Macaca fascicularis: one gene and its partners. The protein of the gene in region 1 interacts with the protein of each later gene in a biochemical or structural test. Links are inferred from orthologs where the notes say so. Each region holds a gene or a part of one and is shown in the gene's direction. Other genes may lie near its edges. The genes, in order: CDKN1A, DTL, PARP1, ESR1, PSMA3, CDK2 and GADD45A.

What was found.
Region 2: of the proteins of CDKN1A (region 1) and DTL, one has a biochemical effect on the other in vitro, tested with the Homo sapiens proteins (3 studies listed by BioGRID, with this or other methods). The link is inferred for Macaca fascicularis from reciprocal best matches to the Homo sapiens genes CDKN1A and DTL.
Region 3: the proteins of CDKN1A (region 1) and PARP1 form a complex in vitro, tested with the Homo sapiens proteins (2 studies listed by BioGRID). The link is inferred for Macaca fascicularis from reciprocal best matches to the Homo sapiens genes CDKN1A and PARP1.
Region 4: the proteins of CDKN1A (region 1) and ESR1 form a complex in vitro, tested with the Homo sapiens proteins (2 studies listed by BioGRID). The link is inferred for Macaca fascicularis from reciprocal best matches to the Homo sapiens genes CDKN1A and ESR1.
Region 5: the proteins of CDKN1A (region 1) and PSMA3 form a complex in vitro, tested with the Homo sapiens proteins (4 studies listed by BioGRID). The link is inferred for Macaca fascicularis from reciprocal best matches to the Homo sapiens genes CDKN1A and PSMA3.
Region 6: the proteins of CDKN1A (region 1) and CDK2 form a complex in vitro, tested with the Homo sapiens proteins (9 studies listed by BioGRID and IntAct, with this or other methods). The link is inferred for Macaca fascicularis from reciprocal best matches to the Homo sapiens genes CDKN1A and CDK2.
Region 7: the proteins of CDKN1A (region 1) and GADD45A form a complex in vitro, tested with the Homo sapiens proteins (3 studies listed by BioGRID). The link is inferred for Macaca fascicularis from reciprocal best matches to the Homo sapiens genes CDKN1A and GADD45A.

What each region holds. Positions count from the first base shown.
Region 1 is NC_088378.1:134,983,452-134,986,757, reverse strand, and holds part of CDKN1A (cyclin-dependent kinase inhibitor 1), read left to right. Parts: intron 1-2,838; 5' UTR 2,839-2,843; coding exon 2,844-3,288; intron 3,289-3,306. UniProt on the Homo sapiens protein: Plays an important role in controlling cell cycle progression and DNA damage-induced G2 arrest. Involved in p53/TP53 mediated inhibition of cellular proliferation in response to DNA damage.
Region 2 is NC_088375.1:69,875,851-69,879,350, forward strand, and holds part of DTL (denticleless protein homolog), read left to right. Parts: intron 1-523; coding exon 524-627; intron 628-906; coding exon 907-1,011; intron 1,012-3,500. UniProt on the Homo sapiens protein: Substrate-specific adapter of a DCX (DDB1-CUL4-X-box) E3 ubiquitin-protein ligase complex required for cell cycle control, DNA damage response and translesion DNA synthesis.
Region 3 is NC_088375.1:84,293,744-84,297,243, reverse strand, and holds part of PARP1 (poly [ADP-ribose] polymerase 1), read left to right. Parts: intron 1-498; coding exon 499-741; intron 742-1,021; coding exon 1,022-1,090; intron 1,091-1,384; coding exon 1,385-1,517; intron 1,518-3,488; coding exon 3,489-3,500. UniProt on the Homo sapiens protein: Poly-ADP-ribosyltransferase that mediates poly-ADP-ribosylation of proteins and plays a key role in DNA repair.
Region 4 is NC_088378.1:60,008,960-60,012,459, forward strand, and holds part of ESR1 (estrogen receptor), read left to right. Parts: intron 1-922; exon of another isoform or gene 923-1,038; intron 1,039-3,042; 5' UTR 3,043-3,118; coding exon 3,119-3,500.
Region 5 is NC_088381.1:126,091,285-126,095,537, forward strand, and holds the start of PSMA3 (proteasome subunit alpha type-3), read left to right. Parts: upstream 1-1,453; 5' UTR 1,454-1,521; coding exon 1,522-1,542; intron 1,543-4,253. UniProt on the Homo sapiens protein: Component of the 20S core proteasome complex involved in the proteolytic degradation of most intracellular proteins. This complex plays numerous essential roles within the cell by associating with different regulatory particles.
Region 6 is NC_088385.1:62,746,645-62,750,663, forward strand, and holds the start of CDK2 (cyclin-dependent kinase 2), read left to right. Parts: upstream 1-1,219; 5' UTR 1,220-1,432; coding exon 1,433-1,548; intron 1,549-2,288; coding exon 2,289-2,366; intron 2,367-2,476; coding exon 2,477-2,597; intron 2,598-3,198; coding exon 3,199-3,369; intron 3,370-3,902; coding exon 3,903-4,004; intron 4,005-4,019. Other genes in the region: melanocyte protein PMEL, read right to left, coding at 365-440. UniProt on the Homo sapiens protein: Serine/threonine-protein kinase involved in the control of the cell cycle; essential for meiosis, but dispensable for mitosis. Phosphorylates CABLES1, CTNNB1, CDK2AP2, ERCC6, NBN, USP37, p53/TP53, NPM1, CDK7, RB1, BRCA2, MYC, NPAT, EZH2.
Region 7 is NC_088375.1:166,989,841-166,994,051, reverse strand, and holds the start of GADD45A (growth arrest and DNA damage-inducible protein GADD45 alpha), read left to right. Parts: upstream 1-1,411; 5' UTR 1,412-1,709; coding exon 1,710-1,753; intron 1,754-2,239; coding exon 2,240-2,341; intron 2,342-2,579; coding exon 2,580-2,817; intron 2,818-3,894; coding exon 3,895-4,008; 3' UTR 4,009-4,211. UniProt on the Homo sapiens protein: In T-cells, functions as a regulator of p38 MAPKs by inhibiting p88 phosphorylation and activity.

The sequences.
Region 1 (3,306 bases):
CTCTTTCTTTCTTTCTTTCTTTCTTTCTTTCTTTCTTTCTTTCTTCCTTCCTTTCTTCCTTTCTTCCTTTCTTTCTTCCTTCCTTCCTTCCTTCCTTCCTTCCTTCCTTCCTTCCTTCCTTCCTTTCTTTCTTTCTTTCTTTCTTTCTTTCTTTCTTTCTTTCTTTCTTTCTTTCTTTCTTTCTTTCTTTCTTTTCTTTCTTCCTTCCTTTCTTTCTTTCTTTCTTACAGAGTCTCACTCTCACCCAGGCTGGAGTGCAATGGCACCATCCTGGACTCAAGCAGTCCTCCTGTTTCATCCTCCCAAGTAACTGGGACCACAGGTGTGACCCTCCATGCCCAGCATTTTTTTTTTTTTTTTTTTTGAGACGGAGTCTCACTCTTTTGCCCAGGCTGGAGTATAGTGGCATGATCTTAGCTCACTGCAACCTCCACCTGCTGGGTTCAAGCAATTCTCCTGCCTCAGCCTCCCAAGTAGCTGGGGCTACAAGTGTGCACCACCACGCCTGGCTAATTTTTGTAATTTTAGTAGAGATGGGGTTTTGCCATCTTGGCTAGGCTGGTCTTGAACCCCTGACCTCAGATGATCTGCTCGCCTTGGCCTCCTAGAGTGCTGGGATTACAGATGTGAGCCACTGCACCCAGCCACCGAGCTAATTTTTATTTACTTTTATTTTTAGTAGAGACGGGGTCTCACTGTGTTGCCCAGGCTAATCTTGGACCCCTGGGCTCAAATGATTCTCCCATCTCTGCCTCCCAGAGTGTTAGGATTACAGGCATGAGCCACTGCCCCTGGCCTCCCCAAGTCATTCTGATGGGCCTCTCTGGTTAAGAAACCTCAAAATTAGAGAGGGAGTGGGGTTCAACACTAGAGCACAGGACTCAGGGCAAACAGGCCTGGGTTCAGATCCTGGCTGTGCCACTTGTGAACTGTGTGATGTTGGGCAAGTCACTTAACTTCTCTGAGACTTGGTTGCCTCTTCTGTATAAAGGGAGCTAATAGATATCCACTTTTTAGGAGGACTGATATTTTTAAACTGCTTAGAACAGCCCCCAAACATAAAAATATATAAATAAATCCCAACTCATGCCTAGCGGAGGGTGGACAGAGGTTATTTGAGGGCTCTGTCCACTGTACTGGGTGACCCCTTTATGGGACAGTGGCCTTTGGCCTTTTTAGCTGTATGACTTAGGGACAAGTCTCATATCTCTTCCATCTCCTGCCGTTTAAACTTGGTGTGAAGTTACCAAGAGCCTCCTCTTCCAACCAGCTGGGACGTGAAACTGTGGGCTGCACTGATCACAAGCAGTGGGGTGAGGTGGGGTGGAGCAGATGTGGCATGTGTCCCGGGCTTCCTGCCTCAGGAGGACTCAGCAGAGCTTTCCCCCCCAGAGCCTGCAAGTTGGGACTTGTCCCTAGGAAAACCCAGTTGCTGCCAAGGTCGTGCAGTCACTCAGCCCTGGAGTCAAGCCAGAGCAGGCAGGTAGGTGCCAGGGCTCCCTCATGGGCAAACTCACCCTCCGTTTTCCCTCTCCTGAAGTGGGAGGAGAGGAGCCAGGTAGACCAGCCACCTTTAATTTTCTTTGCCTGCAAAACGGGTTCCTTGGACACAGGCAACACGGGGCAGAGGCTGCCAGGTGTCTAGACTTCAGATCACCTGATGTGCCTGGCAGGATGTGGCTCAGCCTGGGAGAAATCATCCCTTGCGCTGCCCCGCCCGGCCCCTCCTTACCCCTAGGCCACCCGCCTGACGACATCCTTGGGAAAGGCCCTCAGCCTACAGCACCTGTCAGCTGCTGTCTGAAGGAGGTAGTTGGCAGGGGGAAGTGATAGGGAGGAGGCTCAATAAAACTGAAGGCAGAGAGGAATAATCATACTTCTGTTTTCCATGCACTTCTGTATACGAAGTGCTGCTGGCACGTTACCTACGTTAACTCAGTTAATTCTCATGTCTATCCTCTGAGACAGTAATATCCCCATTTTATAGACAAGGAAAATAGAGCTCAGACAAGTTAAGTTGCTTGCCCAGGGTCACCTAGTAAAACCTGGACTCCAACCCAGATGATCTGAGTCCAGAGCTCTCCTGCTTAACCACCAAGACACAGCCTTTCACTCAGCTCTGTTCTGTCTGCCTTGCGCATGGACTCCCTGATCAATTGCTTGAGTAGGTGTCCGTAGCCATGCTCTTTAAACTTGCACATGGCCCATTTAAGGGTGAGGAAACTGAGACCTAGAGATATTAAGTGGTTTTTTAAAGCTTACGTAGTAACTGGCAGAGCTAGGACCACAACCCGGGTGTTTTTTGCCCCAAAGTCCAGGGTAATTTTACTTGGTCGAGCAGGGTTACCCTACTTGGGGATCTGGGTAGGGGGATTCAGGAGGCTGGAGGAACTGTCCGACTGTTCCTTCTTCTGAGAATTGACCGCCTGGCCATGGCTAGGATTAGGAAACTGCTGGACTCTGGCAATTCACATGTATTTGAGGGGCATTCACACCCATGAGGGACACCTCTGGGGGGAAAACAAATTGATTTTAGCTGAAAATACCTGGTGGCAAACAGGACCCTGGTCCTTGCTCTTGCAGTAAATTTGCCTTTGTTGACATTAGCTTGCCCTTCAGTTGCCTGCTCTGCCAGTGACCTTGGGGTGCCAGGCTGGCTGCGCTCTGCTGGTGGGGGTCAGGCCTCCTGTGGGAAGGACGCAGGAAGACCAGCTGGAAGGAGCAAGAGAGACCCTCTGGTAGGAAGACGTCACCTGAGGTGACACAGCAAAGCCCGGCCAGGTAACATAGTGTCCAGTCTCCATGGTGACCAGGGCCTTCCTTGTGTCTCTGCTGCAGGCGCCATGTCAGAACAGGCTGGCAGTGTCCGTCCGAACCCATGCGGCAGCAAGGCCTGCCGCCGCCTCTTCGGCCCAGTGGACAGCGAGCAGCTGAGCCGCGACTGTGATGCGCTAATGGCGGGCTGTATCCAGGAGGCCCGTGAGCGATGGAACTTCGACTTTGTCACCGAGACACCACTGGAGGGTGACTTCGCCTGGGAGCGTGTGCGGGGCCTTGGCCTGCCCAAGCTCTACCTTCCCACAGGGCCCCGGCGGGGCCGGGATGAGTTGGGAGGAGGCAGGCGGCCTGGCACCTCACCTGCTCTGCTGCAGGGCACAGCAGAGGAAGACCATGTGGACCTGTCGCTATCTTGTACCCTTGTGCCTCGCTCAGGGGAGCAGCCTGAAGAGTCCCCAGGTGGACCTGGAGACTCTCAGGGTCGAAAACGGCGGCAGACCAGCATGACAGGTGAGGACATGTGCAGGG
Region 2 (3,500 bases), on another chromosome or scaffold:
CATATCAGGTCTGTGTTTTCAAGTTGCCTTCATGCTAGAAGTAGAGGGTTAAGACAATTATCTCAGTAGATGAAATGAAAAAATACTTTATTTCATGGAACAATTTGTTTAGATTATTTAAGGAGTTATGTACGGAGATGTAACCACAGGGACAGAACTTACTACTTATGATATCAAAGGATATATGCAGAATATTAAGGCTTAGGAAGTGTTTTTTCTAAAAACAATGGAACAATTACTATCGGCACTCAACCTTCATCTTCCTTTTCCGTTCCCTTAGAGTAAACTCCAGTAACCCATCACTGGGTCAAATCACATCTGTTTCCGTTCTGTCAGAATTATAAGCCTGGTATTGGAGACAACAGTGTAAGATAGTTTGATTTGTTTCCCAATTAAGTATCCTCACTGTACCTAGCTAATGTGACAGAAGAGTTAGATTAAAAGTCATTTCACATTTAGTGTAATTGAAGTTGTTTGGGGTTGGAAGAAGGTCTACAAAATATTTATTTGCCTTGGTTTTTAGGATAATCAAAGTATGGGATTTACGTAAGAATTATACTGCTTATCGACAAGAACCTATAGCATCCAAGTCTTTCCTGTACCCAGGTAGCAGCACTCGAAAACTTGGTAAGCCTTTGTATAGGTCTTTTGGGGGAGATATGAGTTTTTGTTAAAAACAAACAAACATTAGGCTAGTTTCCAGTAACATTGATATGAAAAATTCTAATATGTGAAGTTCAAAAGATAAAAACTCAGAAGAATGTTTTTGGTTTGTGTATATTTTGGGGACAAAGAATTCTGATGATTCTTCTTAAGGAACGATCTATTTTTGTCTGTACGTTTTGTCTCTACCTCACATCTACTCACCATCATCAGGACATGCTAACTTAAGTTTACTTTTTCCAGGATATTCAAGTCTGATTTTGGATTCCACTGGCTCTACTTTATTTGCTAATTGCACAGACGATAACATCTACATGTTCAATATGACTGGGTTGAAGACTTCTCCAGGTAAGACATTAGTCATTCAAATTCTCTTACCAGGAAACCATTATGGGCTTTTTTTTGGTAATGATAATTCAATGGGTTTTCTTCTAAACTGAACTTGTTAAGCCATATGAGGACTTTGACATCTTTGATTACATCCGGTGATAATTTCATAAGTGTACATTCCTTGTGATTTCATAAGTAAGCGGAATTGTGCTTTACATGGTGACTTAATTTTATTTTAATAGAAAATATCTCCTGAAATTATACCGTTTGGCCTATATTTAGAATTCTCTCAATTTTTGATTTAATAAGCTGTGGAGTAGACAAAGCGCTTCTGCTCAGCTTTTGTCCTCTTTAGGGGCTGCTGGTTAAAATTAGGGGACTGAATTTCTCAGACCCCCAAAATAGTTTTAGCCTATCTCAGCCTTCTCCTTAATGTTAAAGAGAGGCCCTTTTATTTCTAGATGTTTTCCCCAGCCTCGCCTTTTTTTTTCCCTCAAAACTATAAAAATAGAATCTGATACTTACAACTAATAAATGATAGTTTTAAAAAGAAAACCCAAGTTTCTCAAGCATGCTTTCCTCTTTTTTTAATCTTCTCCCCTCCCTCTTCCAAATCACCAGCCTCAGGCATGCTTTAAGAGAGTTATTTGGGTTACGTTATTTTTAAGAACATCAATTTCTTAAGCTACATCTTAGTAGCCTGGTTATTCCTCATCTATAGATCTTTCAGAAACACTTTGAATTCCATAACCAATCCTCAGAGTTACCCAGCTTCCACTAAAGTGAAATGGTTTGATAAACAAGAAACCTCAAGTACAGAACTTGTCATTTTATTTACTTTTTTTTAATCTTTTATTTTTTATTTTTTTGAGATGGAGTTTTGCTCTCTGTTGCCCTGGCTGGAGTGCAGTGGTTCGATCTCAGCTCACTGCAACCTCTGCCTCCTAGGTTCAAGCAATTCTCCTGCCTCAGCCTCCCAAGTAACTGGGATTACAGGTGCCCGCCACCACGCCTGGCTAATTTTTGTATTTCTAGTAAAGGCGGAGTTTCACCTTGTTGGTCAGGCGGGTCTCGAACTCCTGACTTCGTGATCCGCCCACCTCAGCCTCCCAAAGTGCTGAGATTACAGGTGTGAGCCACCGTGCCGGTCCAGAACTTGTCATTTTAGCTGAGATCTTAAAGAAGTTTCCAAAGGTCACTCCAAGCAATCTTATTAGGACTTTAGTATTGGTGGCAGTATCATAGTCGGCATTTCTGATGCTTTGCACTGGGTCTGATTTTCTCTAAGCAAGAGCAATAATGTTTAGAAAAGGGAAGAGGTGTTTCTTTTGCTGCTTTCCTTAATGGAATCTGAGCTTGGAGAACTGCTAATTTAGTTAATCAAAAATCTTTCCTTGAAAGATAAAACCTAATCCTGATTATATTATCAGATGTACAAGAGCTCTTTCTATATAATTTTTGCTGCAGTGTGGCACTGAAAAGGGCCTTGAGTTTAGTGTCCTGCCGTCAAACACTTCGCTAATGATTTAGTAAACCTTTTGTGTGCTTCTATTTAATTTCATTTGCTCAGATGGATAGATAGGTAAATAGATTAATAGATCAATTTGTTCCTTAAAAATTGAATGACAGCTGGCCATGGTGGCTCATACCTATAAACCCAAGCTGAGGCTGGCGGATCGCTTGACCCCAGGAGTTCAAGACCAGCCTGGGCAATATGGCAATATGGCAAAACCCCATCTTGACAAAGATGCAAAAAATTAGCTGAATGTGGTGGCATGTACCTATAGTCCTGCTACTCGGAAGGCTGAGGTAGGAGGAGGTTTGATCCTGGGAGGTTTGAGTCTTCAGTGAGCCATGATCTTGCCACTGCACTCCAGCCTGGGTGACAGAGTAAGACCCTGTCTTAAAAAAAAAAAAAAAAAATTGAATGACAACTCTGTGTGTGTGTGTGTGTATAACATCTTGTAATTACTTGTCCTTTTCAAAACTTCTGAAAGGATCTTGGATTTGATACTTGATCTACCATGCTTTGTATTTATGGTGTTATATTAAGTGATGTTCATGAGGATGACTTTGCAAGATTAAATTGAGCTCATTAAAGCCAATATGCATTTTAGGAGGATTTTTAGCAAGGTTTAAACATTTACAGTGCATATCATACCAGCCTTTCTTAGACCAGCAGAGGGCAATAAATCCTTACAGGTATAGTGGGAAATTCAGGCTAGAGTTTTCCATTCATAGTTCAGAGTTGAGGAAGATTAAAAATTACAGTTTTAAAACAATGTTCAGAATAAAGGAGCTTGTTTATTTTGCAGTGATAATAGGTGTATACAAATTGATTCATATCCTGCCTCACTTTCACAGTAAAAATATCTGATGTGAGGAGTATTTGCTATGCCTGCATAGCTTTTTCCTTAAAAGCTATAAATACAAAGTTCTTTTCCAGCTTTATTCTAGAAAATGGAAGAGATTCCTGTAAGCACTTATGGAAAGCTGTTAAGTCCCCT
Region 3 (3,500 bases), on another chromosome or scaffold:
GGGAAACTGCTCAACCTGTATTCTCATCACTTCGCACTGCTCTGTAAGATGTGCGTAGATCTCTGCCAAAACAGAAGTTCATGGTTCAAGTATGTTTGGAAAAGGTAGGGTGAAACAAAAGGTAAACAGGTTTCTGTGTGGGTCTGTTATGCCGACTACCACTGTAGGTCTTCAGGAACCAGAGAAATACAACACAGGATTTCCCATACATATTTGACATCAGGGTGTTTTTTCCTTGGAGTGTCTGTTAACATCGTGCTGTAGAATGGCTTGGAGAAGGCTGCCCTGGCTCATCATACCTTAGAAAAGGGGGAATATTGCTGATCAAGAAGATCGTTTGAATGAAAAACACTCTTGGGAGCATTAGACTTGGAAGCAAAGGAGAGCTGTGGATGTTGAGGGTTTGGAATTACACAGTAAATATAACTATAGTAATTTGAGGTTTCAGTTTTGTTTTAAACTTATATTTCATTTTTTTTTTCCTTTCAATTTGAACAGAGGAGGTGGAAAAGATGAATAAGAAGATGGAGGAAGTAAAGGAAGCCAACATCCGAGTTGTGTCTGAGGACTTCCTCCAGGACGTCTCCGCCTCCACCAAGAGCCTTCAGGAGTTGTTCTTAGCACACATCTTGTCCCCTTGGGGGGCAGAGGTGAAGGCAGAGCCCGTCGAAGTTGTGGCCCCAAAAGGGAAGTCAGGGGCTGCACTCTCCAAAAAAAGCAAGGGCCAGGTCAAGGAGGAAGGTGAGGGCCCCAAGCTGCCCCCTCCAGGGCCAAAAGCCGGGGACATTGGTGGCCAGGTTGGCCTGCACAGAACCTGTCCCTTTGTGTCCCAGACATGGCCTGTTGAGTGCTGCAGAGCAGGAAACAGAATGGCAGGCGCTTTGGGGTGGTGGGAGGAGTGTGTATATAGATGCCAAGTTGACAGATCATGCGAATGAGAATGACTCATTTGCCTTCTACCTTCCCCTTACTTTTTAGTTACGTTTAACTTCGTGTTGACATTTTTCTGTTCCCTTCCAAGGTATCAACAAATCTGAAAAGAGAATGAAATTAACTCTTAAAGGAGGAGCAGCTGTGGATCCTGATTCTGGTAAGCAAACAGGACTGCCAGCCGAGTGGGCCACGTGCCCCACCCCCCACCAGCAGACTAGGAGCACACATCCGAATGCCCGCAGCACACCTGGGGCAATGTGGTCGTGGCTTTCCCCTCAGGCCTCTTTCACCAGCTCCCCCAGTCCTGAGAACACACATTTCAGGGGAACCTCCTGAAGGTGGTATTAGTGTATCCAAAAGGCATGAACCTCAGGCCTGCAAACCCCTTCTCCCTGAGAGCGCTAGCCCCTCAAGGGGAGAGAAAACTGTAGGTGCTTTGCCTCCGGGACAGGACTGGAACACTCTGCGCATGTCCTGGAGAAAGGTGGGAAGGTCTTCAGTGCCACCCTCGGCCTGGTGGACATCGTTAAAGGAACCAACTCCTATTACAAGCTGCAGCTTCTGGAGGACGACAAGGAAAGCAGGTGAGTTCTGTAGATGTAGCCTGGTTGTGCAGAGACATGGGCCCGTCCTGCATCAGTCAATGCTGTGCCATCAGCCTTGTGAAACCCATTAGGCCCAGTGCCTAGGGAATGAAATCTAATCACAGAGATCAAAAACGAACCATGAGGCCTTTGTTTAAAGGGGAGAAAGAAGCCACTTACTAACCAGTAGCATTGCTGTCCTTGTACAGTTGTCTTAAGGTATGGTTTCACGTATTCTCCCACTGGCTTTTCTTTTTGTTTGGTGGGTTTTTTTTGTTTGTTTGTTTGTTTTTCCAACTATTTGTTGTGTTTTTTGAAACAGTCTCACTCTGTTACCCAGGCTGGAGTGCAGTGGTGTAATCACAGCTCAGTGGAGCCTGGACCTCCCAGGCTTAAGCAATCCTCTCACCTCAGCCTCCCAAGTAACTGGGACCATAGATGCACACCACCATGCCTTATTTTTTATGGAGACAAGGGCCTCACTATGTTGCCCAGGCTGGTCTCAAACTCCTGGACTCAAGTGATCCTCCCGCCTCAGCCTCCCAAACTGCTGGGATTACAGGCATGAGCCACTGCACCCAGCCCCAGCTGGCTTTTCTTTCAGCTGCTTGAATCAAGATTTTCTAATTTTACATATGTTTTAAAACTTTGAAGCAAATAAAGGTTGGCAAGCGTTGAACTTACTTTTTAATGTTCAAACTCCCTAGTAACTAAAGAGGTTTGGATTTGCCTTTTTTTTAATTAACATGATGAGACAGGCAAGGGTGTATTCTGGATTGTGGGGTACAGCAGCTGGGAGGTGATGAGAGGGTGGGCTGGCTTTTGTCCTTACGTATCTAGGCAGAGTGGTCCTTAGCTAGTGAGTTCATTGCCCTGTGGTACAGCCAACACAAAACAGGATTTATGTGTCAGTGGAAAGGCGTATGGAAGGAACTCTTATTAAATTCTAACGTTGATTGTGGATGTGTACATTTTTCTGGTGGCTTAGATTTGCTGGTGTTAAGTGAAAGGGTGGTGTGGGCTGTTAGGGTCAGAAAAAATTTTCAACATAGATCAAAGTAGTGCTTCCCAAAAATTTTCACAGGAAAAACCAAGCAGAGAATGAATTGTTAAACCCCTGTGCAGTAGCCCAGAGAATGGCCAGGGAGTCCCAAATTTTCTTTGAAGTCCATAGTTCTGTCTTTAAAATGTACACAAATCTTGTATGTGGGTTTATGATATATCTGTATTTCTTATGAAATGAAAATTAAGTTTTGAGTTTAAAACTTTTAAATTAAGCAGAGTTGTCCTGGAGAAAGGTGGGAAGGTCTTCAGTGCCACCCTCGGCCTGGTGGACATCGTTAATTTAATTTAAAGTTAATTTAAAGTTAATTTAAAAAATTAACTCTGCTTTGAGTTAATGAAAAATTAGCTCATCCAAAGCTAAGCAGCACAGCAGCTGGATATGTGTGATGTGCACCCTCAATTGAGATGGAATTTGAACATGACAGCCTGCATCTCTAGGTCACCGGACCTGAGGAGCCATTGCCACTGCGCCCCTCATTTCATTGTATCTTAGCCTCGGATCTGAGTTGAAAGTTAATTATTTTTAGGGTACAGCTTTAAGGGTTGTCTCCTTGAACACATGACTTCCAGACAGTACTTTGTATTTCTTTGGGGAGAGGAGTAGAATCGTTTTTATGCAAAGGTCTACAGACTCCAGGATTCACTCCTCAGGCTTGGCTGCCAGAACCAAGTTTAAACTATTATGTGGCATTTTTTTATAGTCAATATGATTTGAAAGTTTAATGAGAGGTAAGATAAAGACCCTTTATTGTTATAGCAGTTCCTTTTGTTCTGTGTTAATCACTATCCTTTTGGGGTGTGTAAAATTCTTCCACACCTGAATGTAATGGTAAGAAAGGGGAACTTCTCCTGAAATGGGACAGCTGACCCACACTTGTGCATCTGACACCCTCCTTCCCACCACAGGTATTGGATATT
Region 4 (3,500 bases), about 75 Mb from region 1:
TGGCAACAGAGGCTCCATTGGGTGTCATGTGTCCTGGGGCCCTGAGCGTGGGCACTCTAGGAGCACCTCATTATTGCATGTTAGTACTATGGCCAAGAGAAACGTTGAGAAAGTGGTCAAGAGGTGGATCCATGTGAACGCCACTGGAAAACGAGAGACCTCTTTCCCGATCACTGTCAGTGCAACTCGAAAGCCTAAAATCAATTGAAAACAAAGGTATCTACCTTTATCTTATGTTCATATCCTAGGCTTTTGATAATATGTATTTTTCACATGTTTACAGAAAGCAGTCAACTGAGCTATTCGTGGAAAGGTTTGTGGGTTTGGTTAACGAAGTGGAGGAGTATTACATTTCAGCTGGAAACACATCCCTAGAATGCCAAAACATTTATTCCAAAGTCTGGTTTCCTGGTGCAATCGGAGGCATGGCAATGCCTCTGTTCAGAGACTGGGGTCTAGGGCCAGTAAGGCATTTGATCCACATGTATCCCAGAAGGCTTTTATTGTTAAATTATATTCTTTCGGAAAAACCACCCATGTCCTATTTTGTAAACTTGATATCCATACACTTTTGACTGGCATTCTATTTTAGCCGTAAGAGTATGATTCACAGCAAGCCTGTTTTTCCTCTTGCTTGGGGTGGCAGCGGAAAGCATAGGGTACTTTCCAGCCTCCAAGGGTAAGGGGCAAAGGGGCTGGAGTTTCTCCTCCCCAGTACAGCTTTCTCTGGCTGTGCCACGCTGCTCCCTGTGAGCAGACAGCAAGTCTCCCCTCACTCCCCACTGCCATTCATCCAGCGCCGTGCAGTAGCCCAGCTGCGTGTCTGCCGGGAGGGGCTGCCAAGTGCCCTGCCTACTGGCTGCTTCCCGAATCCCTGCCATTCCACGCACAAACACATCCACACACGCTCTCTGCCTAGTTCACACACTGAGCCACTCGCACATGCGAGCACATTCCTTCCTTCCTTCTCACTGTCTCGGCCCTTGACTTCTACAAGCCCATGGAACATTTCTGGAAAGACGTTCTTGATCCAGCAGGGTAGGCTTGTTTTGATTTCTCTCTCTGTAGCTTTAGCATTTTGAGAAAGCAACTTACCTTTCTGGCTAGTGTCTGTATCCTAGCAGGGAGATGAGGATTGCTGTTCTCCATGGGGGTACGTGTGTGTCTCCTTTTTCTTTCATGACTTGTAGGATTCTTTGTGCCATTTGCATATAATTTGGCAGGTTCAGATTTTTTAAGAGCCCTATGAAGTGCTTTTTGCGTGTGTTTTAAAAAGGCATTTGAAAATTGAAAGTGTGATTTATGGAAACTAAATCATCTGTGAAAAATTGCTTTGGAAAGTAATGATTGCTGGCCATAAAGGGAAATATCTGTGATGTACCTAATGTGTTTTTAACCCTTTAGTTGCTGACAATCTATAGTCATTAATGCTAAACTCGATTTTGGCTTCATATTAAATCAGCTAATCTGTATATTGTCCGACAATGGTCTGTTTTTGTAGGAATTAGATAAAATGTATACTTGATATAAAATATTCAAAAATGTAACTATTAGTAACAGTAAGCTTGGCATTTAGATATACCATGAACACTTTGTCAGGTACTCTGTTGGGTGTTTGGGATAGCAATTAAAATAAAGTATTGATAGTTGTACCAGAGTCTATTAGGCTGCAGCAAAGGAAGTTTATTAAAAGTATAAACTCTCCAAGATTATAGATGCATGACATACTTTCCGTATTTTTTGTGTCCTTAATATGTATATGTATGTGTGTGTGTGCGTATGTGTGTGTGCATGCTTAACTTTTAATTCAGTTAAAAACTTTTTTCTATTTGTTTTTCATCTGGATATTTGATTCTGCATATCCTAGCCCAAGTGAACCGACAAGATCGAGTTGTAGGACTAAAGAATAGACATGCAGAAATGCATTTTAAAAATCTGTTAGCTGAACCAGACCGACAATGTCACATAATTGCCAAAGCTTTGGTTCATGACCTGAGGTTATGTTGGGTATGAAAAGGTCACATTTTATATTCAGTTTTCTGAAGTTTTGGTTGCATAACTAACCTGTGGAAGGCATGAACACCCATGTGCGCCCTAACCAAAGGTTTTTCTGAATCATCCTTCACATGAGAATTCCTAATGGGACCAAGTACAGTACTGTGGTCCAACATAAACACACAAGTCCAGCTGAGAGAATCTCAGAAGGTTGTGGAAGGGGTCCACTTTGGGAGCATTTTGCAGAGGAAGAAACTGAGGTCCTGGCAGGTTGCATTCTCCTGATGGCAAAATGCAGCTCTTCCTATATGTATACCCTGAATCTCCGCCCCCCTTCCCCTCAGATGCCCCCTGTCAGTTCCCCCAGCTGCTAAATATAGCTGTCTGTGGCTGGCTGCGTATGCAACCACACACCCCATTCTATCTGCCCTATCTCGGTTACAGTGTAGTCCTCCCCAGGGTCATCCTATGTACACACTACGTATTTCTAGCCAACGAGGAGGGGGAATCAAACAGAAAGAGAGATAAACAGAGATATATTGGAGTCTGGCACGGGGCACATAAGGCAGCACATTAGAGAAAGCCGGCCCCTGGATTCGTCTTTCGCGTTTATTTTAAGCCTGGTCTTCCCTGGGCCACCTTTAGCAGATCCTCGTGCGCCCCCGCCCCCTGGCCGTGAAACTCAGCCTCTATCCAGCAGCGACGACAAGTAAAGTAAAGTTCAGGGAAGCTGCTCTTTGGGATCGCTCCAAATCGAGTTGTGCCTGGAGTGATGTTTAAGCCAATGTCAGGGCAAGGCAACAGTCCCTGGCCTTCCTCCAGCACCTTTGTAATGCATATGAGCTCGGGAGACCAGTACTTAAAGTTGGAGGCCCGGGAGCCCGGGAGCTGGCGGAGGGCGTTCGTCCCGGGACTGCACTTGCTCCCGTCGGGTCGCCAGGCTTCACCGGACCCGCAGGCTCCCGGGTCAGGGCCGGGGCCAGAGCTCGCGTCTCGGCGGGACATGCGCTGCGTCGCCTCTAACCTCGGGCTGTGCTCTTTTTCCAGGTGGCCCGCCGGCTTCTGAGCCTTCTGCCCTGCGGGGACACGGTCTGCGCCCTGCCCACGGCCACGGCCACGGACCATGACCATGACCCTCCACACCAAAGCATCCGGGATGGCCCTACTGCATCAGATCCAAGGGAACGAGCTGGAGCCCCTGAACCGTCCGCAGCTCAAGATCCCCCTGGAGCGGCCCCTGGGCGAGGTGTACGTGGACAGCAGCAAGCCCGCCGTGTACAACTACCCCGAGGGCGCCGCCTACGAGTTCAACGCCGCGGCCGCCGCCAACGCGCAGGTCTACGGCCAGACTGGCCTCCCGTACGGCCCCGGGTCTGAGGCTGCGGCGTTCGGCTCCAACGGCCTGGGGGGTTTCCCCCCACTCAACAGCGTGTCTCCGAGCCCGCTGATGCTGCTGCACCCGCCGCCGCAGCTGTCGCCTTTCCTGCAGCCCCACGGCCAGCAGG
Region 5 (4,253 bases), on another chromosome or scaffold:
GGGTCACAAGGTCAGCAGATCGAGACCATCCTGGCTAACACGGTGAAACCCCGTCTCTACTAAAAAATACAAAAAATTAACTGGGCGTGGTGGCGGGCGCCTGTAGTCCCAGCTACTCGGGAAGCCGAGGGAGGAGAATGGCGTGAACCCGGGAGGCGGAGCTTGCAGTGAGCGGGAGATCGCGCCACTGCACTCCAGCCTGGGCGACAGAGCGAAACTCCGTCTCAAAAACAAACAAACAAAAAAACCTGAAGAAATACTAAGCAGCTATTTTCCAGACTAAAGCAGACAACTGAATGCAAGGTGTGATCTTGGATTTTCTTTAGCTATGAAGGACTTTATAGGGAAAATTACCCCCCAAAAAAAAGAAAGTTGATAGATCACAGTATTGCTAGTTTTCTAATTTTCACAATAATACTGTGTCTATGTAAAATAATGTTCCTGTGTTGGGGGGGAAATACACACTGACGTATTAATATTTAGGAGTAAAAAAAGGCTGATGCCCTATTTACAATCGGATTAAAATTCAAACCACTTCAAGATTTGCTGTCATGTGCACTTGTTCTCTTCCTGTCACTCTTCCCCACTTAATGAGGGGTCACTCTGACGTGACAGTTCCTAGCGCAAGCCAAGTTTTTTACTGTTCCCTCAACCACTCTTTTGTTATCCTATTTTAAATATCACTCACTTAGAAAGTCATTCCCTGAGCACACTGCCTAAAGTTAGTATCTCCATTCTCTATTAAAGCACTCTTCCTTCTTACTATTTTGCTTATTTATCGTTATCTATTTCTTCCTACTGAATGTAAATTCCATTAGAAACGGTGGTATGTTCTGTTTACAGCTTTTTCTTCAACACGTGGAATACATTAGCGCTCAATAAATATCTTTAATCAGACATATCTTTAACTCTACCAAAAAGCGTTATACTCATAGAAAGAGTACTAATACTTGTGTAAAATTCCAAGCTGAATTCAAAGACGATACCCTTGAAGCGAAACTTCCCGAGAGCCTGGCATAAGAAGGTGAGGTGGATGCCATCAAGATTCTAGGTCAGGATGGGGACGCGGAGGAAGACAGGTTACTTCGCCCCTACTGCTTTTTCTATTCTTTGTGAGTATACGAGCATCTCTCCCTTTTGCTTAAAGACAGAATACAGTGACGAGGAGGGAATAATAATATAAAAAGATAAATAATAATTCCTAGGAAAGGAATAGAGCAGCTTCTCAGATTAAACGACGCCAAAAACTCAAAGTACGTGAACTAAAGGCGGAGCCTTTGCTTTCCCCAACCCCGCCTCTATTGCTTCTGAACATGCGCGCCGCCAGCCTCTAGCGTCCCGCTTCTTTCCCACAATACTCCTGGTCCTGGGGGCCGGAGCCGCGGAACGAGCCACAGAGAAAAAGGTTATTGGTTGGCGATGCAGCCAATGAGCGGGTCTGTTACTAGTTTGCGGCATCCTGTGGTGTAGGGGCAGCGCTCTAGGCCTGGAATCCTTACGCGTCCCGTTGGGTTTAGCACGATGAGCTCCATCGGCACCGGGGTGAGTTTGCTGTCTCTGGGTGTGATAGTTTAACCTAAGGCTTGGGGTTGAAGGGAACTGGGACAGACCACAAGGGTTTCGCGGACCTGGGGTGCTCTAAGACCGCCTTCGGCTGGGTGGGCCACTTGCAGCTGTTTGGAGACCGGTCGTCTTTATCCCCTATATGCTAGGCCTGCGTCTCAGGTGACCATGACTCCTGAAGCTTTTCAGCCCAGGTGTAGCCGGCTTGGCGTCGCCGCGGTGAGGTTTGGAGCAGCTTTGGATTGCTGAGTCACTTTCTTCAGCCACTTAGGGAAACCGAAAGTGGAAACTCGTGGGGCTTGAAATAGTGTGTTCTCTTGAGAACCACCGAGGCAGTGAGATTTGAGATTCCACGGTCCGGAGATCGTGCTTTCTGTGGACTGCGTTTGCAGTTCCCAGGTTGCTGCTGATTCACGGGCCTTCTCTGTCTTTAAGTGTGCAGATCATCGACCGCTCAGTTTAAGAGTCACTGGAAACCCTGTCGGAACAGAACTAATAAAAATGATCTGAATAACTAAATCTGATGAATCCTTCAGTTTTTCCTTTGTCCTTGTTTTTCCTATACAAAGTACCTAACAGCACTTGTAGGCATTTATCCCGTAAACGTTTAAGTGGTTACTTAGGAACTTAACAGCTTCAGACTTTTGATAGACTGTTGAGGATTTTGCAGTGGGACTTGTTAACTTGTTTGGTTTTCCTTTGTTAAACGTATGTATATGTGCAGTTTACTCCTTTTATGTACTCTATATAGAAAATACAGTTTCTACAAGATTTATTGGTTATTTGCACTAGAGTTACTGAATAATGAGTTTCTCAGTTCCTCAATTTCTACTTAACAAGATTCTCATGCTCAGCCTTAAGTTCAAGTACTGGTGTTCTAAATTTGATAATAGGCAATTTATGTCTGGAATGGTTTAATCCATTCGGTTATGAATGCTAAAGTTCTGCCATACTTTTCTTAGATAAGTAAATGCTCAATAATAAATCTTGTAGCAAACTGACTTTGCAATTATATTATTACCTTCAATTAATAGTATTTCATTCTACAAACCTTTTAAAGAATACTTGATAATATAACCATGTGGGATATTTTAGTAACAATGGTAGGGTTAATGATCTGGGTTTAACAGATCAGGAGGCCGGGCGCGGTGGCTCAAGCCTGTAATCCCAGCACTTTGGGAGGCCGAGACGGGTGGATCACGAGGTCAGGAGATCGAGACCATCCTGGCTAACACGGTGAAACCCCGTCTCTACTAAAAAAATACAAAAAACTAGCCGGGCGAGGTGGTGGGCGCCTGTAGTCCCAGCTACTCGGGAGGCTGAGGCAGGAGAATGGCGTGAACCCGGGAGGCGGAGCTTGCAGTGAGCTGAGATCCGGCCACTGCACTCCAGCCTGGGCGACAGAGCGAGACTCCGAATCAAAAAAAAAAAAAAAAAAAAACAGATCAGGAAACAGACTCAGAAAGTACCACTGTTGAAGGCTTATCTTCTGTGTTCATTTCTCCCAAGAACTCCAGATATGAATAATTGTTTGTCTGCTTGACACGTCTGTCCACTTGATTGTTTATTTTGTACTGCATGTCAAAGTAGAGCTCTGGGTTTTCTCCTTACCTTGCCATTTTGCATCTACTACAGTCTTCAGCTCAGTGAATGGTCATATGAAAACATCTGTGATTCATCTTTAATTCCTTTTTTTACTTCCAGAACCAACGCTTTAGCAAGTTTTTTTTTTATTTTTTGAGATGGAGTCTTGCTCTGTCGCCAGGCTGGAGTGCAGTGGCACGATCTTGGCTCACTGCAACCTCCGCTTCCCAGTTCAAGCAATTCTCCTGTCTCAGCCTTCCGAGTAGCTGGGACTACAGGTGCACACCACCACGCCCAGCTAATTTTTGTATTTTTAGTAGAGACGAGGTTTCACCATGTTTGCCAGGATGGGCTCGATCTTTTGACCTCGTGATCAGCCTGCCTCGACCTGCCAAAGTGCTGGGATTACAGGAATGAGCCATCATGCCCGGCCTCGCAAGTTTATTTTTATTATTTTTATTTTTTTACTATACTCTGAAAAAGTATTCCCTTCTACCTCTTCTCTTGTCTAAGCTAGTACCACGATCTTTGGAACACCTCATCTTTGCTTCTGTTGTTCTCTCTAGAATTCATTTTCCACATAAAGCCAGAATGATGTTTTTTAAAATGTAGATCATACCACTCCCCCTGCTTAAATTCCTCGTTGCATTTAGAATAAAATACAAAGTCCTTATTGCAGCCTGGAAGACCCAACATAATTTGACCCACAGCTACCTCACTAACACAGTCTACTCTTCTTTCTGCTGCTTACAGTGCTCGGGACACAGTGACCTTACTTCTGTTTCTTGACTGTGCTAGCCTTATTTCTACCCTAAGATCTTTGTGCCAAATGCCAAGAAGGCTTTTCCTTCATATCTTAAATGGCTAGCTTCTTGTCATTTAGGTTTGACTCAGCCTAAATATTACTGCCCCAGAAGGCCTTCCCTGATGATGTAGTCTGTAGTAGTTCCTTCCATTGCTTTACTCTTTTATTTTCATCTTAGTGCCTTTTCTGATTTACTGCTGTATCTCTAGCACCTAGATTCATGTCTGATTTGAAATTGAAGGACTTAATGAATGAGTGATCACCTTTGTATTCCATGTAGTGGACTAACATAATAGATACT
Region 6 (4,019 bases), on another chromosome or scaffold:
CCAATACTACATTCTCTGACTCCCCACTTTAAATCTCCTACCCCAAGAGACATTTCTTAAAAGAGTCTCCCGCACATTTCACCCCTTTGGAGCCCCTGCTCCAGCTCACTGCCAAGGAAGCCTCAGAATCAGTGCCACAGAGACCTTCTATTCTTCTGCCCCTCCAAGCATATGAGATTATTTTCAGGCTCAATCCCAAATCTCCATGTAGGGAGGGAGCCCAGGTGCCCACATTCTCACTAAATCAAATGAGTGGGAGACGCCTGAAATATTGCCGCTATCTCCCATTAGGAGGAGAGAAACCAGAGCAGGGGGAATTCATCCCCAAGTTCACACCTGCTTATGTCCATATATCCACACATACCTTTTGTAGCCCCCACAGCCAGCAAAGCACCTATCATAGCCAAATGAAGAAGCCATCTTTTTAGCACCAGATCCATTGTGTTCTTCCCTCCAGCAACCAAAGGCACTGGGGGGACTGGGATAGGCCCCTATATAAGAAAAGGGTGCTCATTTGCATAGCCCTTCCTCTTCTCCCTCAGAGAAGGCCTGGGAGGGGCCAGAGAAGAGGAAGAAGGAAAAACTGACAAAGGGATCCTGGTCCCTAGACATTGCTTTCCCATCCTGCTACTCAATGGCAGTTTCTGGTTTCACTGGGTCACTCTCATATACTCCCGGGCAAGGGCTGACTGAAAGGCAGCTGCATAACACATACCAGACACAACAGTTCATCATGGGAGAGTGAATTAAACCAGGAACTTCTCAAAAAAACAGAAACAGAAGCCTGCATCCCAAAACACAGACAGCGTCGGGGTAGGCTATGAGGCAGAGGCAATGACTCCTCTGAGGCCCAGGAATTCTTTACAACGAGATTCCTAGTTTCCTGCTTTTCAAAGGAGGCTCCTGGGCCAGGTGGAATTTAACCTTAGGTCGATACATATTTTTCCCAGGAGTGGTGAAAATAGTGAGTTAGAAATCAAGAAATCCCTACAGACTAGAGACACAGGTAGGAAACTTGGACCCAAAGTAGGTACTTGGGAAGACTGTTCAGCCGCCCCACCGAGAAAGAAATTTGTCTAGCCCCCGAAGAACCAAACTTGCCTGGGGCGGGGTCATTTGCGGGGAGGAGCGCTGCACTCGCCCCCCGGCTCTGACGTTGACCAATAGAAATGCCTGGGGGCGGAGCCAGGGAAACGCGGGAAGCAGGGGCGGGGCTTCTGGTGGCGGTCGGGAACTCGGGGGGAGGCGGCAACATTGTTTCAAGTTGGCCAAATTGACAAGAGCGAGAGGTATACTGCGTTCCATCCCGACCCGGGGGCACGATACTGGGCCCTGTTTCCCCCTCCTCGGCCCCCGAGAGCCAGGGTCCGCCTTCTGCAGGGTTCCCAGGCCCCCACTCCAGGGCCGGGCTGACCCGACTCGCTGGCGCTTCATGGAGAACTTCCAAAAGGTGGAAAAGATCGGAGAGGGCACGTACGGAGTTGTGTACAAAGCCAGAAACAAGTTGACGGGAGAAGTGGTGGCGCTTAAGAAAATCCGCCTGGACACGTGAGTGGCCTCTGTACCCGGGACTCCTAACTGGGGACCTCCTTGACTGTCCCCCCCCAATCCCCCACGGGCGGGTAGCCGTCCAGGGACCGGAAGACAACAGGGACGGACTTCTTTAGAAGTGGAGAGGTGGGTTGGGGGCCAGTAGAAGGTGGAGTGTATACTTATACTCCCTGGGGAGAGTATAGGATGGTGTGGAATCCATGGAAAACTTTCTTCCCAAACTGAGCCGGATCGTGCCCCCAAATGTGCGAACACAGAGACTCGGGGAGAGAAAGGAGGCCTCTGAGATGAGGTCCAAGACTCTCCATGGAGTGGAGTTATGTGGGAACGGGCGAGGAGCGCCTTTCTGAATGAAGAGCTCTCCTCACTGCCCCACCCTCACCTTAGAATTCTCTCCTCTTTCCAAAGAATGGCAGTTGAACCTCACTGGCCCCTCTGGAGAGACTGGGGACTAGTCCTGCTTTTTTTTTTTTTCCCCCCATTACAGCCTCCCTGCTTCACCTTCACCAGACGGCTTTACTTACCTACCCCTGGGAAAAGACAAGATAATGACCTTAATATGTGCAAAAGCCACACCCTGACTACCCAAGAATTAGCTCTTTCCAGCACCCTTTCTTTTCTCTGACTTTCCTAGGGGGTGCTGGGTGGTGTCTCCTTGGGGGAAAGAAATGACTAGGTGGGGGAAAAAGGAATATTTGTAACCATATTCCCGTCTCTGCTTTCCCAACCTCTCCAAGTGAGACTGAGGGTGTGCCCAGTACTGCCATCCGAGAGATCTCTCTGCTTAAGGAGCTTAACCATCCTAATATTGTCAAGTGAGTATGTGTCTGAGAGGCAATCCAGCTGGAAAGGAGGATGAGTTGTCTGTACAGTGTGGGCTTTTCTCTCTCTCGCACCTCCATTTCCTCAAACTTTACTTCTCTAGGCTGCTGGATGTCATTCACACAGAAAATAAACTCTACCTGGTTTTTGAATTTCTGCACCAAGATCTCAAGAAATTCATGGATGCCTCTGCTCTCACTGGCATTCCTCTTCCCCTCATCAAGGTAATGCTTCTCATCAGCTCCTCCCATCATGGGCATGTCTTGGGGTTCTGGTGGCAGGCAATTCAGGGTGATATTTTATGATCTTGGCCTCCTTCTGAGCCCTCATCTCCTACACACACACACTCCCCTTCTTTTTGTGTCTCCTTCCCTGCTCATTATATTCATTAACCCTAGGGTTGGACTGAACAATCAAAGTTGAAACTCTAGTGAGTCAACCTAGCAACTCAGGTGGGAGGTCAGATGAAACTCAGATAAATGGGATTTGAGAGCACTTGGTAAATTCCTCCAAAAAGCCCTTCTGTTTGGTGGAAGAACCAGCTAGTAAGTCTCTATTGTCTATTTTAGGGCTGGATTCTTCACTCCCAGAGCTACTTTATTAACAAACATTTGTTCAATGCACAGCATGTAGAAAAGGGAAGCAAAATTGAGTAAGACTTGGTCCTTATCCTCTCTGGGCTGACAGTCCATTGGGAGAAATAGCTTGTAAATATGTAACTATAATCCAACATATAAAGGCTTTAGTAGAGTTTTGGGGTCACAGAGCAAACCCAGTCTGCTCACTGTGATGGAGAAACACAGTCCTCTCTTTCTTCTTTGTCAGAGCTATCTGTTCCAGCTGCTCCAGGGCCTAGCTTTCTGCCATTCTCATCGGGTCCTCCACCGAGACCTTAAGCCTCAGAATCTGCTTATTAACACAGAGGGGGCTATCAAGCTAGCAGACTTTGGACTAGCCAGAGCTTTTGGAGTCCCTGTTCGTACTTACACCCATGAGGTGAGTCCCTTTATGCCTTTCTTCTCTGAGCTTCCCAAGAGGTGTTAACTAGGGTATTCACAAATTTACTAAAAATATCTGGCTAACAGTTTCTTACTAGGTAGAAATAATCTCTTGACATCTTCAAGAGTCTTAGGGCATGCATGGAATTCATACTGTGTTGCTAACTGGGCTCACGCCTGTAATACCAGTACTTTGGGAGGCTGAAGTGGGAGGATCACTTGAGCCCAGGAGTTCGAGACCATCATGGGCAACATAGCGAGACCCCATCTCTACAAATCTACAAAAAGAAAAAATTTCGAAATCAAATTATGACCATTTGTCTCAAGTTTTTCCAGGAAGATCTCAAATTGGGGGTTCAGAAAATATGGTCTCCAGAACTATGGACTGGAAATCAGTGAGAGGGGAAAGAGGGAGGGAAGGAAACTGCTTGTTAAGAGGCCATGAGTTAGCAGAGTAGTGTTGGGGAACTGAGATGTGGGAATCTCCATACCCTATAAACCACTCCACCTCTCCCTATTCCTGTCCCTCAGGTGGTGACCCTGTGGTACCGAGCTCCTGAAATCCTCCTGGGCTGCAAATACTACTCCACAGCCGTGGACATCTGGAGCCTGGGCTGCATCTTTGCTGAGATGGTATGGAGGCTTGCC
Region 7 (4,211 bases), on another chromosome or scaffold:
AGATCAAGAGAGCTGGAGAATATTTTGTCTAGAGTGATAAAAACATAAGGGTGCAAAACTCCCAGGTGACCTTTGCAAAAAATTACTTCTGTGACCTTTGGCTGTACAGCAACCTTAATAATGCAAGCACTGTTTTGAATGCAAGCATGTGGGAGCCGTTTTCACCACTTTTGGTGACTTCAGTAGGTTTAAGAAATGTTTTTGCATTTATTGCATAAACCATAAAACAAAGGAAGGGACTTTTGAACTACTCAGTGAGAGTCTATATATTAAAGTTTGTTTTTCAAAATGTGTAACTACCATTTGCAGTTTTAAAGGTCTGCTTTCCACCTGCAAGTTGCCATTATCTCAAAGGTGAAATTTTAGCATATGACTAAAAACTTCCTATAGTTACGGCTTCATGATTCAGCATCTAACATCAATAATTCACAGTGAGATCACACAGGAGGCTCTCTGTGGAAGGTAGTGACATACATACGTTAGGAAAGGAAGCTTAGGGCATATCAAGAGCATTTTGAATTTAGACTTGTGGGCTGTGTGGGTGTCAGATGGTTGTCTCTCGACTGGTGGGCGTCCAGAAGGATCCTTGTTTGGGCAAGGCTCTTTGAGAAAGGAGAATCTGGGTTGCCAGGGATTCCCACATGTGGTCACCAGCTCCCCACGCAGACCAGCTCACGATTTCCCAGTTACAGCGGGCAGGTGGGAAACCGTTCTGCATTCTGTGGAAAAGACTCCAACTTGGTTCCCTGCCATCCCTGAATACAAACGGGTTGGTTTTTCTTTTTTGAGCTTCCAACCCTTGCAGCTTTCCAAAAATAAATCAAACCAGCCATCAGGGCACCGAAATAATACTACTGCTAATAAGCAGCTTCGCCTAGACTTAGATAAACAACACTTCTGAGGTAAACTTTGCCCCAGAGGTCTGGAGACACTTTTTTAATGTAAACTGCTTACTAATAATTACTAGACTTAGGTGCATTAACCCTGGAAATAGATTTTAATAGCCACCCCTTAAAACAAAAGGCATGAAACGATAATAAGAAAAAAGTGCCGCGACTATTATAAAAAAACACTTGGCAGCCTGCTTCAGCCCAAGCTAAGGCTACCTCCCGCCTCTGCTGAAGCCCTCCACTCCCAGTGGTCCCCGCCAACCGGATAAGAGAGCGCGCGGGACCCGCCTTCCTCTCTCTGCACCGCCCCCGTCCCCGCCCCCGCCCCCGCCCCCTCGGCTCGCCTCCCGCGTGGCTCCTCCCTTTTCCGCTCCTCTCAACCTGACTCCAGGAGCTAGGGTCAAATTGCCGGAGCAGGCTGATTTGCATAGCCCAATGGCCAAGATGCATGCAAATGAGGCGGAAGGTGGTTGGCTGAGGGTTGGCAGGATAACGCCGACGAGCGGGGCCCTTTGTCCTCCAGTGGCTGGTAAGCAGTGGCTGCGAGGCAGCTGCCCAATTAGTGTCGTGAGGCCGGTGGCGAGGCGAGGGCCGGAGAGCGAGCGAACGAGCAAGCGGGGCGGGAGGGGTGGCCGAAGCTGCGGCGGCTGGCACAGGAGGAGGAGCCCGGGCGGGCGTGGGGCAGCCGGACAGCGCCGGGGCCTGAGCTCCCGGCGCGGCGCCTGTGAGTGAGTGCAGAAAGCAGGCGCTGGCGCGCTCGCCGTGGCAGGAGCAGCCCGCACGCCGCGCTCTCTCCGTGGGCGACCTGCAGTTTGCAATATGACTTTGGAGGAATTCTCGGCTGGAGAGCAGAAGACCGAAAGGTAAATCGGCCTGCGGACTCTTCCGGCCCGAACTTCTCTCACCTACCCCGCGCTCCCGGGTGCAGGCGGGCTGTGGAAGGTTTGCAGGGGAGGAAGCAGAAAAGTTTGCACAGGGCAACTCCCGCCCTTGCTCCCTCGGGACTCTCCGTGTAGCGTCCGCGGACTGAAAGAGCATGCCCCGCAACCCGAACGAGCCCCGCCGGGGCCTTTGCAAAGGGCAGCAGTGGCCGTCGCTGCCCTTGCGGCTCCTGGGGCTAGCAGCCTGTGGCAGGGGCACTCTCGGGACTTCTCATGGGACGCCCGGTCCTTGGGCGTGCAGGGGTCATGGGGGGTGACGGGGCCGCGGGAGCGCCGGGTTTTCGGAGAGCCCAGGTGCGCGGTGGTGCTTGCATTCGAGAGGGAGGGGCGTGGTGCCGGGCAATGGGGGCGGCGATGGGCCCGAGGGCACCGGGGCTGACGGGACCCCTCGCCCTTGCCCGCGTGTAGGATGGATAAGGTGGGGGATGCCCTGGAGGAAGTGCTCAGCAAAGCCCTGAGTCAGCGCACGATCACTGTCGGGGTGTACGAAGCGGCCAAACTGCTCAACGTGTAAGTGGGGCCCTTGCGCGTCTCCCGTGGCACCCCTTCCCGCCCTAGCCCGGGAGGTCGCCTTGGCTGGGCGCCCCTCGCCCGGCCGCGCCACTTCCTGTCGCTTTTCTTCTGCCCCCGCGGCTGCCTGTCCCGGAGGGGAGGGGGCGAGCTGGCCGGGCGGCGACCCCCGGAGACCCAGGCAGGGGTTGAGGGCGTCCGCGGTTCTGCGCTCACTGGCCCCGCCCGCTGCCCCCAGCGACCCCGATAACGTGGTGTTGTGCCTGCTGGCGGCGGACGAGGACGACGACCGAGATGTGGCTCTGCAGATCCACTTCACCCTGATCCAGGCGTTCTGCTGCGAGAACGACATCAACATCCTGCGCGTCAGCAACCCGGGCCGGCTGGCGGAGCTCCTGCTCTTGGAGACCGACGCTGGCCCCGCGGCGACCGAGGGCGCCGAGCAGCCCCCGGACCTGCACTGCGTGCTGGTGACGGTAAGGGGCAGGGGGACTGCAGCCTGCGGGGTAGAGCCCCGGAAGGACGGGAGTCAGGGCTGGGTCGCCTGATTGTGGATCTGGGGTAGGTTTGGGTCAGGAGGGTGCTGCCTTTGCCCCACGAGAGTGTGGCTGGACTTTCAGCCGAGATGTACTAGTTTCATCATCAGGATAATCTGTGGTACAGAACATGTCTAAGCATGCTGGGGACTGCCAGCAGCGGAAGAGATCCCTGTGAGTCAGCAGTCAGCCCAGCTACTCCCTACCTACATCTGCATTGCCTCCCGTGACTAATTCCTTTAGCAGGGCAGATTAGATAAAGCCAAATGAATTCCTGGCTCACCCCTCATTAAGGAGTCAGCTTCATTCTCTGCCAGTCAGAGCTAAAAATAGAAATTGTGTAGGAGACAAACCTTGTTAATTCCCTAGAAATACATTAAGAGGATAGAGTGGAATTTTTTTCTCTGCAATCTTGCATTTTTTTAATGGGCCTTTTTTTTTTTTTTACTCTTCTGATAAAAACCTTTGGTAGGTAGGGAAGTTATGTTTTCAGGGATAAGTGTGCTACTTTTGTCTTCTAAATTTTGCTTTTTGACTGGTCTAGTCAAGTGACAGCCGGATTATTTTGCTACTCCTTAAAAGTACTACTCTGTCTCTTGGGAGTAGAGTTGATGGCAATTCCAGTTAACTGCTGTGCAGCTCTCATCTCATTGTGCACACAGCATGGAAATCTTTCTCAAAACTGTTTCACTCAGGTCAGGGTAACAAGTTTGGTAGAGCAAACCCGTGAATGATACTCTCATGCAAAACTGAACAGATATGCAAACATATGTATGTGGTTCAGCTTGGGTTGCATGGGTTCAGACTTTGCAGTGTGTAGTTTAATAGGTAATTACCCTTAACGATTTTGCACGGAACCCAACTACTTTGAAGAAACTTTAATTTTTTGTGCTTCTAATTTGTCTCCATGTCACGTAGCCAAAATATAGAATGTTCAAGTGTCTTCTCCTCAAAAGTGTAATACTAGCAAATATCGATTTTTTAAAAATAAGTTTATTTTTCTAAATTTGTTTCCAGAATCCACATTCATCTCAATGGAAGGATCCTGCCTTAAGTCAACTTATTTGTTTTTGCCGGGAAAGTCGCTACATGGATCAGTGGGTTCCGGTGATTAATCTCCCTGAACGGTGATGGCATCTGAATGAAAATAACTGAACCAAATTGCACTGAAGTTTTTGAAATACCTTTGTAGTTACTCAAGCAGTTACTCCCTACACTGATGCAAGGATTACAGAAACTGATGTCAAGGGGCTGAGTGAGTTCAACTACATGTTCTGGGGGCCCGGAGATAGATGACTTTGCAGATGGAAAGAGGTGAAAATGAAGAAGGAAGC